3 linked regions of the Stegostoma tigrinum genome follow. The protein of the gene in region 1 binds, or shares a complex with, the protein of each later gene. Links are inferred from orthologs where the notes say so. Each region holds a gene or a part of one and is shown in the gene's direction. Other genes may lie near its edges.

The links.
Region 2: voltage-dependent L-type calcium channel subunit alpha-1C-like (region 1) and voltage-dependent calcium channel gamma-1 subunit-like share a complex: the UniProt entries of both Homo sapiens proteins name them as parts of the calcium channel complex. The link is inferred for Stegostoma tigrinum from reciprocal best matches to the Homo sapiens genes CACNA1C and CACNG1.
Region 3: the proteins of voltage-dependent L-type calcium channel subunit alpha-1C-like (region 1) and voltage-dependent calcium channel subunit alpha-2/delta-1 are in contact, whole or in part, in a cryo-EM structure (PDB 8WEA), measured with the Homo sapiens proteins. The link is inferred for Stegostoma tigrinum from reciprocal best matches to the Homo sapiens genes CACNA1C and CACNA2D1. Residues at the interface, in NP_955630.3 of Homo sapiens: Phe147, Pro148, Glu149, Asp150, Asp151, Ser152, Asn153, Ala154, Asn678, Lys1090, Gly1091, Asn1092, Tyr1093, Ile1094, Tyr1096, Gly1099, Val1101, Pro1104, Ile1106, Arg1109, Tyr1156; in NP_001353796.1 of Homo sapiens: Thr170, Asp171, Tyr173, Ile233, Leu235, Gly262, Ser263, Ser265, Lys270, Thr274, Ala327, Lys328, Gly329, Ile330, Glu366, Gln391, His392, Tyr394, Ile416, Gly417.

What each region holds. Positions count from the first base shown.
Region 1 is NC_081371.1:22,338,917-22,344,847, forward strand, and holds the start of voltage-dependent L-type calcium channel subunit alpha-1C-like, read left to right. Parts: upstream 1-2,203; 5' UTR 2,204-2,331; coding exon 2,332-2,476; intron 2,477-5,931. UniProt on the Homo sapiens protein: Pore-forming, alpha-1C subunit of the voltage-gated calcium channel that gives rise to L-type calcium currents. Mediates influx of calcium ions into the cytoplasm, and thereby triggers calcium release from the sarcoplasm.
Region 2 is NC_081375.1:9,587,374-9,593,304, forward strand, and holds the start of voltage-dependent calcium channel gamma-1 subunit-like, read left to right. Parts: upstream 1-2,082; 5' UTR 2,083-2,172; coding exon 2,173-2,413; intron 2,414-5,931. UniProt on the Homo sapiens protein: Regulatory subunit of the voltage-gated calcium channel that gives rise to L-type calcium currents in skeletal muscle. Regulates channel inactivation kinetics.
Region 3 is NC_081378.1:27,353,931-27,359,861, reverse strand, and holds the start of voltage-dependent calcium channel subunit alpha-2/delta-1, read left to right. Parts: upstream 1-2,322; 5' UTR 2,323-2,842; coding exon 2,843-2,940; intron 2,941-5,931. UniProt on the Homo sapiens protein: The alpha-2/delta subunit of voltage-dependent calcium channels regulates calcium current density and activation/inactivation kinetics of the calcium channel. Plays an important role in excitation-contraction coupling.

The sequences.
Region 1 (5,931 bases):
GAGATAATTGCAAAAAATGAAAACTAAAACGTGGTGCTGGAGACAAACCAACTGACTGAAATAACATGATAGATATAAGAATTGCATGCTGAGGGTCTATGCAAAGTAATACACAAGATCTGTTCAGATGAGGAGAAATGTGGTGGATACTTAAGTGTTTCAAAAGATGCCCTTATAATAGGCTACGATGCTCAACTCATCCATCGCCAGTTTTGACGTGCCACAGCAAAAAACCATAATGACCTCCTCAGCAGACAGACAGGACATGACTGATAAGAGTACCCTTCATTGTCCTGTACTTTCCCAGAGCAGGGAGGCTACACAAAGTTCTTCACAGCCTTCAACATGTCATCAATGACAACAAGCATCTCGCCAAGATCATCCCTACACCTCCACTTCTCACCTTCAAACAACTACCAAATCTTAAACAGACCATTGCTCGTAGCAAACCACCCAGCCTTCAGGACATCAACCACACCACCACACAAGCCTGCCACAGCAATCTCTGTATGACATGTCAGATCATTAACATGGATACTACCATCACTCATGGAACACCACCCACCATGCACATGGCAGATGTTCACGTGACTTGGCCAACTTGGTCATGTATCTCGTTCGCTGCAGGCAAGGATGACCCAAGGCAATCACCAGACAGGAACGTTCCCTCCCAGTTGGGAAGCACTTCAGCCGTCAAGGACATTCAGCTTCTGATCTTCAGTTAAGGTGTCCTCCAAGGCGACCTTCAAGATACACAACAATGCAGAACTGCCAAGTAGAAACTGATAGTCAACTTCCATACCCACAAAGGCAGCCTTAAACATGATCTTGGATTTATGTCACGCTATACTGGACCCCCAGCACTGACTGTATCTGTAACATCTTCCTGTTTTGACACCATCACCTGGATAAATTGTTATGGCCTCTCAATTAGTTTATACAGTTTTGGATGACTTATTACTTTGGTAAGACACTTGGTGTGCAGCTCTTATACCTGTTGTGTTATTCCAATGACTTGGTTTGTCACCAGCACCACTTTATTTTTAATTTTTTGTAATTATCTCTCTGCTTCATTTAATCGGATTATAGGTAATCCCTTTGCTTGTTATTCAGCTGCTGACACTTCACTCAAACAGTCTAACACTTGCAATTACCTGCAGAGACTTATTATTCAACACTCCACCCAACCATTTGTTTGATCTTTTGATCTTTCTGCTCATAAATTTTGCATTATGTATTTCTCTGTCACTTCACCTGTCGAAGTAGCTGCACTCCAAAAGCTTGTGATTTCAAATAAGCCTGTTGGACTTTAACCTGGTGTCGTGTGATTTCTGACAGAATATCCAGCTTCTGATTTCCAGTGGTCATTGTGCGGGTGGCTGGTCCAAGTCAGTTTCTAATTAAGAAGTTGATGCTGCTGGCTCAGTGATGGCAATACCACTGCATGTCAGTGTAGGTGCTGAAGTTCCTTCTTACTAGTGATTATAAAATTTTATAATCTTAACTGGTCAATAGCAATCAATCGTGCTCTTTTAATGAGCAGCTGAATGTCAAACCTCGAATACCCACAACCTTATGATGCTGATAGGAGAGCGATTAACGAGCCTGATTGCCATGACATTTAAAGAAAAAAAATCTCAATTTCATCTGGCTATAACAAATAACTGATTTATGGCATTAACCCAAACAGAATGCAAAGAACACTTTGTACTATTCTGTTAAAATGAACACAGTTTAAAATATGGTCTATAAACTTATACCAATGCTACACATAATACCAACTTGATACCTAATTTTCCCACACTTCCCTCAGTATGAAAAATGTTTTAGTAATTTTTGTTTTATGAGGCTCGAGAAGATGTATTAATCAGTAATACTTGCTTCAAATGTGCATTTCTTTTCTCTTTTCTCTCGCTACCTGCTCCCACACACAGCTGGGTTAAAAATGTAGAGAATGTTTTGAAAGTTCATTATAAGATCATGACAAATTCTTGGGAGAATTTTATAATCTTAACTGACTTGTAATTGGAGCATTGCTGAAACTTTTTATCTTTGTTTCCTCTTAATGAGATGAAGGCCCTATATCAAAACGTCAGCACTGATGCAGAAACGCATGCCACAATTTAACTCCTTAGAGTGGAGGAAGTCAACATATAAAGTCACCGTCCTCCTTCATCTCTCACTTTTGAATGTAACACAGAAACAATAAGCATTCTCCCCTCATCTGTGCTTCAATGGGCAGAACCTAAGAAATAACTCATACTTTCAGAGATTGATTTCAGAGAATTCAGCAAAACAAAAGGTATTTTTAATGAACATTGTGTTATTGCCATGGAAGGCAAAATGCTTCCATCAGTTCTTCATCAGAAAGCCTCCAAACAGTTGTCCAAACAACCAACACAAGCAATGGATATCAAGTACAAAGGCATAATTGTGAAGGAGACACAGCTGAATTGCTTCTACACTTGTCCTGGAGGTAGGATTTTCTCATGTCTTTGCCCATGTAAACGATAACAGTTTAAAACAATATTTTAGAAAAAAGTTGTTTTAATAACTGCACTTTAGATTTGGATCCAAAATTAGAAGATGATGTCTTAATTGCATTTCTCTCCCATCAAATGTGATCAAATTTATATTACCAACCTTTACAAATACCTAAATACTGATATTTCCCGGTCTTAATTTATCAATAACAGACAGATATCACAATTGTAATAATTTTGCAAATATAAACATAAAAGTAATGTTTAAAATTAAAAGAATAAACGTGCAAAAAACTATATTTGCCAAAATACTATGAAATTTATAGTAACCTTGGCAGTTTGTGTTTTTCCTCAGTTACTGAAATGCTGTAAACATACCAAATTCATCTCTAATTTCCTGATAAAAAAACAAGTCTTTGAATACCTGATACATTATTGCAAAGCAACATAAAAATTTGTTTAGCAAACTACGATTTAACAGAAGTTTCTGGAAAACCTCAGGAGATCGGGCAGCATCTCTGAAGAAGAATAATCAGAGTTAATGTTTCGGGTCTGGTGACCCTTCCTCAGAACTGTTTTTGTTCTTGATTTACAGCCATCTGCAGTTCTTTCAGTTTTTATTTGCTATTCAACAGGGGTCACAATTTTTTATGATGCAAGCAAAACATTAATTTCATAATGCACTATAACAGAAATTCATCAGGTTATTTAAATTGCACTTCTAAAATTCTTCACAGTCTTTGTTTAATATATGGGGCAGCACAGTGGCTCAGTGGTTAGCACTGCAGCCTCACAGTGCCAGGGACCCAGGTTCAAATCCAACCTTGGGCGACCATCTGCACAGAGTTTGCACATTCTGCCCGTGTCTGTGTGGGTTTCCTCTGGGTGCTCCGGTTTCCTCCCACAGTCCTAACATGTACAGGTGAGGTGGATTGGCCATGCCAATCCACCTAGCCTGTACAGCGGTGTGTGCGTTTTTGGGGGATGGGTCTGGGTGGGATGCTCCAAGGGTTGGTGTGGACTTGTTGGGCCAAACGGCCTGTTTCCACGCTGTAAGAATTCTATGCCATGTAGATAAAATTTGTTTAAGAAATGAATCATTTGCAACTATATATAGTGGCTTCATTTTATGCATGCATTATTTTAAAGTAATTTAGAATGATAACAAAAATTTAATCAGTACAATTAAAACATTACGTGTCAGCACCAAAACCTCAGTGTTGCAAAGTAACCTACAGCGAATTAATTACCTTTGAAATGTAGTCACTATAATGCAAGAAATATGAAGCTATTCAGCAAAGGATTCCATGATTAGATTATCTTATTTAAACTTACTTCAAAAGCCTAAACACAATGACAGAGACACAAGAACTTTGAAACTCTAATTCAAATAGAACTATGAGAACTTGTTTGCAAATACACAGAGTTGGGGCCTCAATATACAGTCACATCAAAAGACTGCACACACAACACCTCCTCAATACTGCATTGAGCTGCTAATTTGAATGCTCAAATCTCTATATAGGACTTGAGCCACAATCTTTGACTCCGAAGCAAGGGAGCTACCACTAAGCCACAACCTTAAATTCTCATGAAGTTACAAAAATTGAAGACCGTTATACAGATTTCTTCAATATACCTGTTCGCTAGGTAGGGAACAATATCGATTGAATCGATTTATCACCTTTGTCTGTTCTCCGTCCCCATCTGAAGAAAACCATTTCTGTCACTAAAATCCAGTTCTAACAGCTGTGACCACCCTCTAGAACCTTGCGCCCACCATCCTGACTTTAACTAGATGGCTACTAATCAAAAAATAAACACTAGCAGCATGTGGCAATATTCCGACAGCAGAAAATGACAGTTCAGTTCACCCCGATCTTCATCCCATCTGAAAAACAAGTACTGTAATCACAGTCTCTATTAAGTTCCATCAGCCACTTGTCTGCTTGTTCTGGCCTTCAATGAAGAAGTAAATGCTATATTTGCACAATAAATGTTCCACGTGAGCATTGTGCAGGAATCAAATTCACCTATGCAAACTGTCCTCACTAATATTCATTATTATGGATGCCATTCACATTAGCTGGTGCTCACATCTTATTCTATATGGTTCAAAGAACACAAATGGACCTGGTTTAAAAAAGATCAGTTTCCTCAATAATAAAAATGCAAATTCGGCACTCTGTGAAATTTCAACTAGTACTTCTTCTCAGTATGGGTTCAGTTACAAAAGTAAATTAAATGAGCAATGTCTGGCCATCAGCAGAGTTTTGTTTAATTATTGGCTTCTTTATTACCTTGCAAATGCTAATTCCACAACTACTACTGTTGTAACTACCATCTCCACCATTGACCTTTGAATTGGGTAAGCTGGACATCTGTACCGTGACAATTAGCAACCTCATATTTAACAGCAACCAGGTTAGCTCAGTTGTTAGAACATCAGATTTTGTTGGTTTTTTGGGCTCAAAAAATTGTTCAATTGGCTTAAAACACAATAAATAAAAAAAATGATGTTGCAAGGAACTTCTGGTGCAGTGGTAGCGCCCTACGTTCAAGTTAGGAAATCCCAGTTCAAGTCCAATGTGCCAGGGAATAGATCGCAACATGCCCAAATAAGTTGATTATCCAAACATCAGATCCATAGCATTGATTCAGTTATTCTGATGACCAAAAAGTCATTGGGGCAGAACCAGGTGGAACTGCATGCCTGGAATTATGTTCCAGGTGCAACTGCCTTTGGAGAAAATACCATGGACACCTCCAAGATGATAGGAACCATAGGCATCTCAGTCAGATGTAGTTACAATACAGTAAGCTACCTCACCTTCAGATGAAAAATAGCAGCATCTTGTAGAAGAGGGCATGAATACAAAGCACCTTTCCATTATTTGCAATTTATGGGTAACCCTAGGTAATGTTTTCTCAATTTGTGGCCACTCCATTACCGTGTAGTAGTGATAATAATTGATGACAACTGTGGTGACACATAATAAAACCTGATGTCAAAAAGTGAAATGTAGGTCAAAAGGGGAAAAGTCTAAGGGGCCTGCGCTCACTGCAATTCCACAATCTAAGGGAAGTAACACGTCTTGACTGCATAAAGCCTACCCACCATGAACAAACTCACATCAGGAGCATTATGAAAGATTCTCCATATGCCTGAATGAGTGTAGTTCTAAAACAGAAGACGTTCAAAATCATCCAAGGAGGATGAAACTTGCTTAATTGTGCATCACCTTCAAAACATGTACTCTGCGCTCCTACAGTGCAAACCGTTTACCAGATTCCCTGCAGAAATTTCTCAAGGCTCCTTCAATAACACCTTCCTAATGCACAATATTTACCACCTAGTCAGGCAAGAGCAGCAGATGCATGGAAAATCCCAGCAACAAATTCTCCTCCAAGCCACACACCACTCTGACTTGGAAACACATCCCCATTC
Region 2 (5,931 bases), on another chromosome or scaffold:
CCAAACCATCAGGGGTGGGAGCAAAGTCCATCACAGTGCATTTCCTCGCAGCAGGGTTTGAGTGACAGGCCAAGAGCAAAGTTAGCTTAACATGGTCAGATAGATTTAAGCGACTCTTGGATAGGCACAAGGAGGATAGTAAAATGTAGGGTTGTTGCGGAGTAATTTTATCTTAGAGTAGGATAATAGGTCGGCACATCATCATGGGCCGAAGGGCCTGTGCTGTTACTGTTCTATGTTCATGACCCGCAAGCTCATCACTTACTCCCTTACACTGGAAGGTTTTGTTTGGATTCTGTCAGCACTGGGGAGTCTGTGGAACCAGGAGTGCACGCTGTTCCCCTTTTTAATTGCAGCCTCCTCTGGGAAGAGACCGCAGGTCCATTGGGGTTTGCGGGATGGAGGGGGGGGGGGGGGGGGGGGGGAGACAGACAATGAGAATGAGACTTGGCCAAAAAACCAGCGCCACTCCTCGGCCCTCCAGGGACCGAGTCTGAAACTCCTGCCCAGCTCAGGGTTGCGCTTATTCCCGGATCATGTCCTCTCGGGGCCCACAGCCTCTGAATGAATGAAAGCCCCAGCACTCCCTATACCCTGTCCCCTCCGGGGTACCCGCTGGCAACAGTCTCACAGCTTGGCACTCTTACAAGCCCTAACCACCTTCCCCCCTTTCTGGCTGGGCTGGTCAGCAGTTGACACAGCTCGGTGCTGACTGTAGGGAGACGCGGTGTAGAGTAAAAGATAACAGGAACTGCAGATTGCTGGAGAATCCTAGATAACAAGGTGTAGAGCTGGAAGTTGCTGCTTGGCCTGCTGTGTACATCCAGCTCCACACGGAGCTGTTATCTCGGATTCTCCAGCATCTGCAGTTCCTACTATCTCCGATACCATTTTAACTTCACTGCGAAGCCTCTTCTCAGGATGCCTAACCTGAAGACGTTACCCTCCTCCCTCCGGACAAACCTCAGAGGATCTCTCTCCCACTGCAACCTATCTCTTGCCTACCTCCCCACCAACACTCACCTCTACTGGGTCCAACCCCGCCTCTTTAACTTGTCTGTCTCCTCCTAAGGGCCTGAACTGTGCTGTACTGTTCTATGTAATCCCCTGATCCATGTTATCGCTGAGTTCTTTTCAGAGCTTCTGACCTATCCCCTCCCTACCTCCCCACCTATACCCTCCTTTCCACCTATCTTCTCGTCTATCCATCTTCTATCCGCCTCCCCCTCTCTCCCTATTTATTTCAGAACCCCCTTCCCTCCCCCATTTCTGAAGAAGTGTCTAGGCCCGAAACGTCAGCTTTCCTGCTCCTAAGATGCTGCTTGGCCCAGTGTAGAATAAAGCGGGTCGGGTGGGGTGGGGGGAGAGCGGGGTGGTGTGGGCTCCTTTGGTGCATGGTAGTGACCCTAGTTCTGAGCTAGAGGAACCCGGGTTCAAGTCCCACCAGGTCCACAGGTGTGTCTCAACGTCCCTCAACAAGCTGGCGAGGAAAGCTCCACAATAAGGCGAGTGTGGGTCCGACATTCAGAGTGGGACCTGCCTGAAACTGTCCCAGACTGAATGACGAGGAGACTGGGCAGAGATCTCCTCTCCCCCAGATAGCACTGCGATTCTTGTTCCTCTCCGTGGAGACCTCGGCCACCTGACTCCCAGACCAGCGGTCGCCTTCAAATCTGACAGTTCCTTGAATGTGGAACTGTGATATAAATATACACACGGCAGCGCCCGGCCGGGAACAGCTCCTAATAGAAAGCTATTCAACGCCGGGCCAATTCACTCACAAGTTTGGGGGCCAGTGTGCGTGTGAGGGGGTGGGGAGGCGTGTCACACGAGGGGCGCAGAGGAGGCTCCCGACAAACCCTCAGCAAGCATCCCATATACTAACCTCCCACCCCAACCCCGCCATTCCTGAAGGTTACAATCGTCCCGGAATGGAATTACATCCCCCCCCGGGGTAGAATGGCTCACGCGTCGGTCTCTGTCAACCTGAGGCTCCCATATACAGAGAGCAGCAACTGGGCAGTGCCAAGGCCAGTCTAGAGTGCATTGGCCAGCCACCAGACGCCCACCCCCCCCCCCCAACCTCCCCGAAACCAGCCCCGGGGGTTCGGGGAGCGGTCAGTCAGTGCAGGTGCTGAGAGCACCAGCACCTTCCTGCTCTTCCGCAGCACTATGGAGGAGGGTAAAGCAAGCAAGATAAAACTCACCTTCTGTGTGATCGCGGTGGGTATCATCCTGGCGATTGTGGCGGTCAGCACCGACCACTGGGCAGGGCTCAGCCCCCGGCTGGAGAGAACCAACTCCACTTGCGAGGAGGCTCACTTCGGCCTCTGGAAACTGTGCACGAAGAGGGTCTTTGTCCGGAGTGTGGACCCGGACGGGAAGGGCTGTGGGAATGCCGACCTGCCAGGAGGTAAGAGAGAGAGCTGTCCTCAGGCACACTCCAGGTCTGAGGCAGGAACTCAGCGGGCTGCAGCTACCTCTCTGTCTGAAAAGAATTCATTCTGAACTTCTCTCCAAATTTACCGCGGTCAGTTGGCCAGCACTTGAGTTGAGCAGAAATTACAACATAAAGGGATTCTTATTGTGTATGTCTTCATACAGTGTCACTACAGCCCCTGGTTGTGTGAACGGTAATAGGTGGGTATACACTGTCCTTTATGCCGCTTTTAATTCACTCCTGGGACATCAGTGCCACATTTATTTGCCCGTTCCTAGTTGTTCCTTTAGAATGTTGTCTTCTTGAACCATTGTAGTCTATGTGCTGTAAACCCACAATGCCATTAGGGAGGGAATTCATAGTGAGTAAGTATTCCCCAGGACAGGGAAGTCCAGATCCAGGCCTCACAGTCTAAGGATCCTGGTTAGATAAAAAGATAAAAAGATCTTCACCCAGAGAGAGTGGTAAGCCTATCGATTCACTGTCACAGAAAACTGGCCAAAACATCGTACGATTTTAAGAAGGAATTGGCTATAGCAATTGGAGCTGAAGCGGTCAAATGATATGTGCAGAAAGCAGGAGCAGACTGATGATCAGTCACAGAGTCATACAACACAGAAACAGGCCCTTCGGCCCAACCTGTGCATACTGACCAGGTCTTCCTGAACTGAACTAGTTCCATTTTCATGCTTTGGGCCCATATCGCTCTAAACCTTCTCCTATTCACGTCACTGTTCGATTTTTTTTAAAAAAATGTAATTATACCAGCCTCTAACACCTCCTCTGGCGGCTCGTTCCGTACATGCACCGCCCTCTGCGTGAAAAAGTTGCCCATCAGGTCCCTTTGAAATCTTTCCACTTTCACAGTAAACCCCTAGTTTTGGAGCCTCCTACTCTCAGTAGAAAGACGTTGATTACTGACCTTATTCATGCCCCCTCATGATTTTATAAGCCTCTATAAGGTCAACTCCCAGCCTGCTACTGAGAAATAGTCCCAGCCTATCCAGCCTCTCCTTATAAGTCATGATCTTAATGAATGGCAGAGCAGGCTCGAGGGTCCGACTCCCGCTCCACGTAGAGACATTAAGAACTGCCGCTGCTGGAGTCTGAGATAACAAGGTGTGGAGCTGAAGGAACACAGCAGGCCAGGCAGCATCAGAGGAGCAGGAAAGTTGGCGTTTCGGGTCGGGACCCTGCTTCTTCAGCTCCAGTTCTACACTATTACATGGGTGACAGTGAAATAAATGCAGGATAGTTTGATCTTAGAGTAGGATAATAGGTCAGCACTAAGGGCCTGTATTGATCTATGTTATCTCCTGCTCCATGTTATCTGTGTTTGTCTCTGTATCAACTCCCATGTGCCTTCATAGTGTATTAGCAACGGACTCAATCTTCACCAATCTGCAACGGAGCAGGCCCAATAGAGACGGGACCCAGCAGGTTCATGTCCAGGCCAGCTCCTCTCCGTCCATTGAATGGTACAATTAAAAAACAAAGGCTGAGTTCTTTTCAGAGCTTCCGACCTATCCCCTCCCGACCTCCCCACCAATACTCCCCTCTCCACCTATCTTCTCCTCTACTCGACCCGCCTCCCCCTCTCTCCCTATTTATTCCAGTTCCCTCTCCCCATCTCCCTCTCTGATGAAGGGTCTAGGCCCGAAACCGTCAGCTTTTGAGCTCCTCTGACGCTGCTTGGCCTGCTGTGTTCATCCAGCCCCACACTTTGTTGCCTCCAAGAGTGCAGGGAGCCGGGAACGCTGTATGCCAGCGAGCAGCCTGGGAACGGGGCGAGAGTTGAGTATTGGACACAAGCTCGAGTTCGGCTGAGAACATTGCCCGTGGCTTTTTAAAACAGAAAATCTTCAGCATCGGCGGGAATGTTTAGACCCTGTAATCAACGTGATGGTGAGAGTAGCCAGGCAGATCCCTCCGGCTGCACTAACCCCTTAAAAAAGAATTTTAGACTAAGCTGCCGCTCACTGCAAACACGCCTGGAACAGGTGCTGGAGTGTAAAGGTATCCGAGCGGTCCCGGAGTTAAATATACCATCAACAGAATTCCAGCCTCTCGCTCACTTTAACACAAGCATCTTGTCTCTGGGTTTATCAAGCATATCCTTCAGCATCATCGGCTCTCTGATAATTCACCAGGTATTTAGGGGTGAAGCAAGCTTCCAGTCAGCACCATGTCAGTGACAATATGTAATTATTACTTCAAGGTCTCTGTCTCTACAGCTTCATCTGAAATCCTGTGCAGCATAATAACTTCCTGGTAGCAGCCCGGAATATACAGTTCATTAAGAGTTTAACAGACATGTCGCTTTCTGCTCTTCGCTTGGTTGGACCGTGTCGTCGGTATTTCATAGGCTCATAGAACGCCTTCAGTGTGGAAACAGGCCCTTCGGCCCAACAAGTCCAAGTTGACCCTTGGAGCATCCCAGCAGATCCAGCCCCCTTTAACCCACCTAATTTACACATCCCTGTATACTACAGGCAATTTAGCATGGCCAATCCAAATAGCCTGCACATCTTTGGACTGTGGGAGGACACCCACGCAGACACGGGGAGAATGTGCAAACTCCACACAGACAGTCGCCCGGGTCCCCGGCGCTGTGAGGCTGCAGTGCCAATCACTGAGCCACCGTAACCAAGCCCCCTTTCAGAGAAATGATGAGGGGCATGGATAGGGTGAAGAGTCAAAGTCTTTTCCCCAGGGCAGGGGAATCCAAAACTAGAGAGGTGTGGGTTGAAGATGAGAGGGGAAAGATTTAAAAGGGACCTGAGGGGTAACTTTTTCCACGCAGAGGGTGATGCGTGTATGCAATGAGCTGCCAAAGGAAGTGGTACAGGCTGGCACAATTACAACATTTAAAAGCCATCTGGATGGGAAGGGTTCAGAGGGATATGGGCCAAATGCTGGAAAATGGGACCAGATTTGTTTAGGATATCTGGTGGGCATAGATGAGTCAGGCTGAAGGGTCCTGTTTCTGTGTTGTACATCTCTGTGACTCCATGACTGTGTGTTATCACACACCTCTGGAACAGCTTGGATTTGAACTGGGCTGCCTGGCTCAGAAGCAAAAACAGAAATTGCTGAAAAAGCTCAGCAGTTCTGGCAGTGTCTGTGGAGAGAAACCAGAATTAACATTTTGGATCTGGTGACTCTTCCTCCTGGTTCAGAGATAGAGATACTACCACAAGAGCCCCAAATAATTGTGACTTGGGCGTGTTGTACCCCAAGTCTCACATCTATGGTTAGATCAATAGCAACATTTGGAGTGAAGGTGCATTTGCTTACTATCATATTTCCGTCAATCATGCTGTTTAAATCTTTCTGTAATCCTGGACTAACCCTGCTTTGATTTGAATGGACCTTGTAGTTTATCAGCTGCAAATTTGACTAATTTATACCAAGCTTCTGAAGGTAAGGACTCACCAATTTCTCAAATAGCTTGGTCCATTTGTCTGCCAGGTTTTAGAGGTAGCCTGTTT
Region 3 (5,931 bases), on another chromosome or scaffold:
GTTTAATGGATGATCCATCTCAGCCTCCTACTGAGGTCCCCAGCGTCACATTTGCCAGTCTTCAATCTATTCAATTGTCTATTTGATAACAAACAAGTAAAGATACTAGATACTGGAAACATAATGACGACTTGTGCTCCACAACCAGTGACTCCCTTAGCCAAATTATTCCAGTACAGCTGCAACACTGGCTTCTACCCAGTAACATGGAAAATTAGGATAAGTCCAACCCTGTAAATTGCTGCTCCATCAGTCGATACTGAGTAATCAGTGATGGAACATATCGACAGTGCTATTATGGGGCACTTAGCAAAACTCAATTCTCTGATGCTCAGTTTGGGTACTATTAGGAACAGTTAGCCCCTGGCCTCATTGTAACCTTGGTCCAAACACATACAAAAGCAGTGGGGTCAAGAAGCAAGGTAAGTGTAACTGGTCCTGAAACAAGGCAGCATTTGAATTTGTGTGGAATTAAAGAATCTGAGCAAAACTGGTGTCAGTGGGAATCAAGGAGGAAGCTCACCACTGAGTGGTGTTATACTGAACACAAAGGAAGATGGTTGAGGTTGCTGGAGGTTGATCACCTCGGTTCTGCATCATTATGGTAGGAGTTCCTTAGGATAAGGTCCGAGGGGAACATTTGTTATTTCACATCATCAACAGTAACGTTTTAAAGATTTTAAAATCTTGACTTTCAATTAAAGTATAAATAATATATTTACAATGGTTGATGGGATCAGAAATACAACAATTTAGTTCCATTACGAATCGTGTGGATGCAGCCTTTTCTGCACTGAAGTACATTGCATGATGCAATGCAGAAATTTACCGGGGCTACTGAGACACCTTCCAAACCCATGACAGCTCCCATCTAGAATGACAAGGGCAGCATGGGTCAACATCATGGGTCAAAATCCTGGAATTCATTCCCAAAAGGCATTGTGGGTCTGTCAACAGCACATGGACTCAGTGGTTCACCACCACCTTCTCAAGGGTTATTAGCAATAACGGCTGGCCAGCCAGCAATGCCAACATCCTCTGGATGAATAAGAATAATAATTGTCATTCCTTTACTGCCAAGGCAACAAAGTCGACATGGACTTACTGGTTCATGAACATGGCTCCATACCACCTTCCCAGCGGTAATTAGGGACAGGCAATAGATACTGTCCATCACTCAGATCACCTAAAAGGACTAAAATAAATGAATCAGGGCAGAAATTTCCAACCTTTTAAAAGGGCTGAGTGGTTTAATATCCTGGTGTGAAGAAAGGGATGAATCCCATTAAGCATTGTAAAAATAGTATTTATGGTTTTAATGAAAATCAAGACTTTAAAATTTTAAAAAATATTTGTTTTACATTTGGTCACTATTGATGATGTGAATGAACAAATGCTTCCTTTTTTTTAACTTAGTCCATGTCTGCACTAGACAAAATGCTCAAGGAATATCATACAAATCTATTTAGGTGCCTTTACGGCTATCACCAACAGTAATTTCTCGATAATGGTCGGTGCTCCTGCATTCTCACGATGGAGCCAGAAGTTTCAGCCAAAATTACATGCAGACCTGGGGCGGGCTGCAGCCGTCCTAACAGTGATAGAAACCAGGGCACTTTAAAAGATACAAAAAAACATAGAAATTGCTGGTAAAGCTCAACAGAACTGGAAACATCCGTAGAGAGAAATCAGAGTTAACGTTTCGGGTCTGAGTTCTGAAGAATGGTCACCAGACTTGAAATGTTAATTGATTTCTCTCCACAGATGCAGTCAGACCTACCAAGCTTTTCCAGCAATTTCTGTTTTTATTTCTGATTTCTAGTATCTGCAGTTCTTTATCGGTTTTAATTCACTTTAGACATTTGTCTCTGCCAGGGCACATATCAGTAGGTTTCGGCTTTTCATCCATTCGACTGTAGCAAAACTCAGTTTTTAATTTCTAATTAATTAATCATAACACAAGGTCTTCGAAATGTGCAATATATGGAAGGGATATTTGCTTAGAAAGCTCCATTCTTACAGGAACTGCGTCTCCAAAATGGGCTTTTATCTTAACTAGAACTTAGTCATACGCAAAAATGAACCCCTGGAAAAAAAGACATTGATTTTAGTTCCAGCAACATTATAGAACAGAACAGCTGGCCTCAAGGTTCAAAACACACTTCAGGGTTGACGTTTCGAGAAAGTGGGTGATGGTGCTCTACACATTTTGATCTATAGACTGTAATTTTGAGTGCTTTTTTATGTTTTTACAACACGCGTTTCAAAAGAGAAAGTCATAGCGCTAGTGAAGAACCCGCCTTGTGAATGTTTTAAAAGCGTCACCTCAGCACGCAGCACCTCGCTTTAACAGCGTCGATATAAACCAGGGTTAGACTGCGATGTTTGTGTGACAGGCGATCAGCCGCTGGCTCTACGAGAGGAGACTGAGAGTGTGTGTCTGTGTGTATTTGTGGTATTCCTTGTATGGAAACTAGTCCGGGCTCGAGGGGGAGCGAAGGGGATTGATGAGACTGGTTTCACAGGGCAATTGGAGGAGGGGACTGAGAGTCCAGGACAGTGACGATCACCAGCAGTTTGCACAGCCCCAGGATATATCCCAAACCAAGAAAAAAAACAAAAACAAAACTAAGCTGCTTGGAGATGGAACCCGGGCTGATGGCGGCTCTTCAGATCAGCCGCTAAATGTTATAGTTTGGGATTATTAGAATTTGTTGCTGTTGTGAACCTATTCTTGGAATCTCATCTTCCTGACATTAACTTGGGACAGGCAGATTTATTTTTATTCTGCATTTATTTATTTTCCCTTCCACTTTGTTTTAAAATACATTCACGGTGGAAGATGGCTGCTTGCAGGAGCTCACTCTGTCTAATAGCAGTTATACAGTTGTGCCTGATGCTATCTTGTACATCGCAAGAAAGCTTTCCTCAAGCTAACGAGTAAGTAACAATAACCCGGTTTGCTGCTTGTCCTTGTTGTAACTGTGTGTGCACTGCCCAGTGCTTCTGACTGTGGCCTCTATGCTTGCCAATACGAAGTGTTACACTGTATCTCACAGCGCATCTCTGATCAAACAGATCGCTGTAGAGAGGGGGAACAGAATCTTCCGATGCATTTGCGATCTGGCTAACCGATTACTGATTCAGAGAAGTGTTACCACAACTAAACATTTTCTTGTGCTTGATCTCTCGCCCTCTCTCGACTTCCAGCCCTCTGTTGAACAAAAAAAAAGCAGACCCCTAAAAGTTTATAGTTTGTGAGCACCTATTTAGGCTAAAACGATGGTAATATGTGAATTAGAAAAGGCTGCCATGTTTAATTGGAAATGGGGAGGGGGGGTGGATTGCTGTATTCTCCATTCTGAATTCGGGCAATCACATTGTTCCAATAAACTTGTTGCCAAAGTTAATATAAAGTAAGGCATTTGGGGAATTGCATGGGAACGTTTGGCTTGACTGCTGTCACTGGACCGATGCCGTCAGTTCTTAAAGGAGCCACTACCTTATTCACCAAGAGGTGTTTGACACGTTTTCCTTTGTTTATAAACACAAGGTACAATTATATACTTGCTGCGTCACATGCATGTGATGTTAACGTGCGGTAATAACATTTACAGTCTCCCCCCTCTCCTCCTCTTCACACTGTCCACCCCTCACACCATCCCAAAAGCCAACAAGAAAGTGAAAGAACTTGCAGGACCGGAGTTCTATTAACCAGAATTATAGAAATCCTTGAGGTTTTTTTTAACATGCAATCATTTTCCTGTTTTATTGTTGGTTAGAATAGAATATTTTCAACATTGTTGAAGGAGGAATATTATATTTCTCCCCTCCTCTCCCAGAAGACAAAAGCAGTTCTTTTCATAATCGGTATTTAGTTCATTAAGGTACTGCAGTTAACCCTTTGGGCAATGAAACAGCAGAAACAACCCCCAGGCTTTAATTCTAAGGAGTGGTTCTCCAGTGGAGCAGGTTTATGCTTGAATGTAATGCTGTAACAGGGGCTATGCTGGTTTGGCATGTGACATCTTCCCTACAGTATTGACAGTTCCAGCAGGCTATTTACTTTTAAGAACACAAATTTTGTGCTGCACTTTAGTTGCACGTGGAGACATACATTTCTCAGGCATCTTTGGCACCAAAAAAATCATTTTGATGAGCAAAAAGTAAAATATTGTGTTGGTAGCACTGTGAACCATCTCATTCCACCGCTGAAAGAAACTTCGGACCAGGTGTTTTCTGCTTGAAAGCTATGTGGTATAACTTATTTCTTGGGGTTGTTGCAGAATTAAGTAATTGAACAAAACATGCCTTAAATTGTGAATGATTAAAATGATGAATTTGGTCCATATTTTCTTTATTTGGTCATGGGACATTGTCATCATTCATTGTCAGAGGGCCATTACAAGACAGCCACATTTCTGTAGTACTGTAGTGAAATGTAGGCCAGGCTAGATAAGGATAGCAGATTTCTATTTTTGAACCAGATTTTAAAAAAATTACAGCAGTTGACAAATTTTACATGTTCACCATTACACTTGGTTTTCTCTAATTCCAGATAATTATTGAATTCAGATTTCACCATTTGCCACTGTGACATTTGACCCCAGAACATTAACATTAAACTAATGGTGTTACCACCATGCTACCACCTCCTCCTCCTGATTGTGTGGAATGGTTAAAATAGTTGTATTCCAGACCATAAGGATTGTCTGCTGGTTTCTGCTTGTAAATATAGAAGACAGTGACAATTTCTAGTTTAATTTTGCTGGATTTGATATAATTGTACACAATTGATTTATTTACAACAGTTATATTAATTCCAGTGTGATTGTTCCATTTGATTCAGCAGGTGCAGATTTGTAGAAAGCCTTTCTACATTTTTCCCATTATGAAACATACTCTGCTTCCCTAATTAGTTCACCAGGATAGCTGGCGACCTGTTCTTAGGCTTTTGCTACTTGGGCCCTTACAGTGAACCACTAGGAGGTGTGTGAGAGCAATGCTTGTTGATTCCCTCTGTGCTCTGTGATTTCATTTTGTATGGCAGGACTGATAAAGGCCTGGTGAACAATTACCTGCTCTTCCTCTTGACCATAGATGGCACAGATGTGGCGTTAGAAGGTCAAGGAACAAAATGCAATTTAAATATTTTCATCCTTCGCAGACATGAAAGACAACAAAATTTGTTACTTTTTTGGCTGTTCTTTTAAATCTGGTGGGAACACTACTGTAAAGTCAGTATAAGTAAACCGAGCATATGCAATACATGACTGCCCCACAGCAATGAATTTGGAGTGGGCTTTGAAAGCTGGCTTTGAGACAATAATTTGTATATTTGCAACATCAAATGCTTCAGGCAAGGGCCTTGGAGACTTGACAGTAGCTAACTTCCAGTTTGACACAAGTGGCATATTTCAGGGGCATCAGATGAAAAAGTGCCAAGTAAACCTTGCTCAAAGCAAAAGCCAGTTTCTGTCCCATTAAATTAAGCAGTTTTTCTGAAAAAAGTATTTAAAGGGTTAACATTCTATGTTAAAGAAAGCCTTCAGTGACAGCTGCTTGCCACATGCTGTGCTTAAGTTATCTCAGTACAGTCTTTGGCTTATTATTTACAGGAGGATTGATTGGTTGTTTCCACATGAAATTGTATAAACTTTGACAGTGTGAATGTAAAGAGAGTGTTTGTAGCTAACCACAGATGTTGTGCATTACTAATGCTTGTAGGAATGGGGCCATCACTCTGTCCCTGCTAATTTGCTGCGGTATATTTTTAAACCTGTTAGCTAGCACTGGTGTACAGATCTGTTTTTTAGGAATGAGATCTTCTGCCATTTCTGAGTTGCCTAATTATAGAAGTAGAGAAGTCATCAGCTGGTCTCAACAATCAATGGCGCTGTCTGTTAACCCATTAAGTAGTATAGCAGGTCA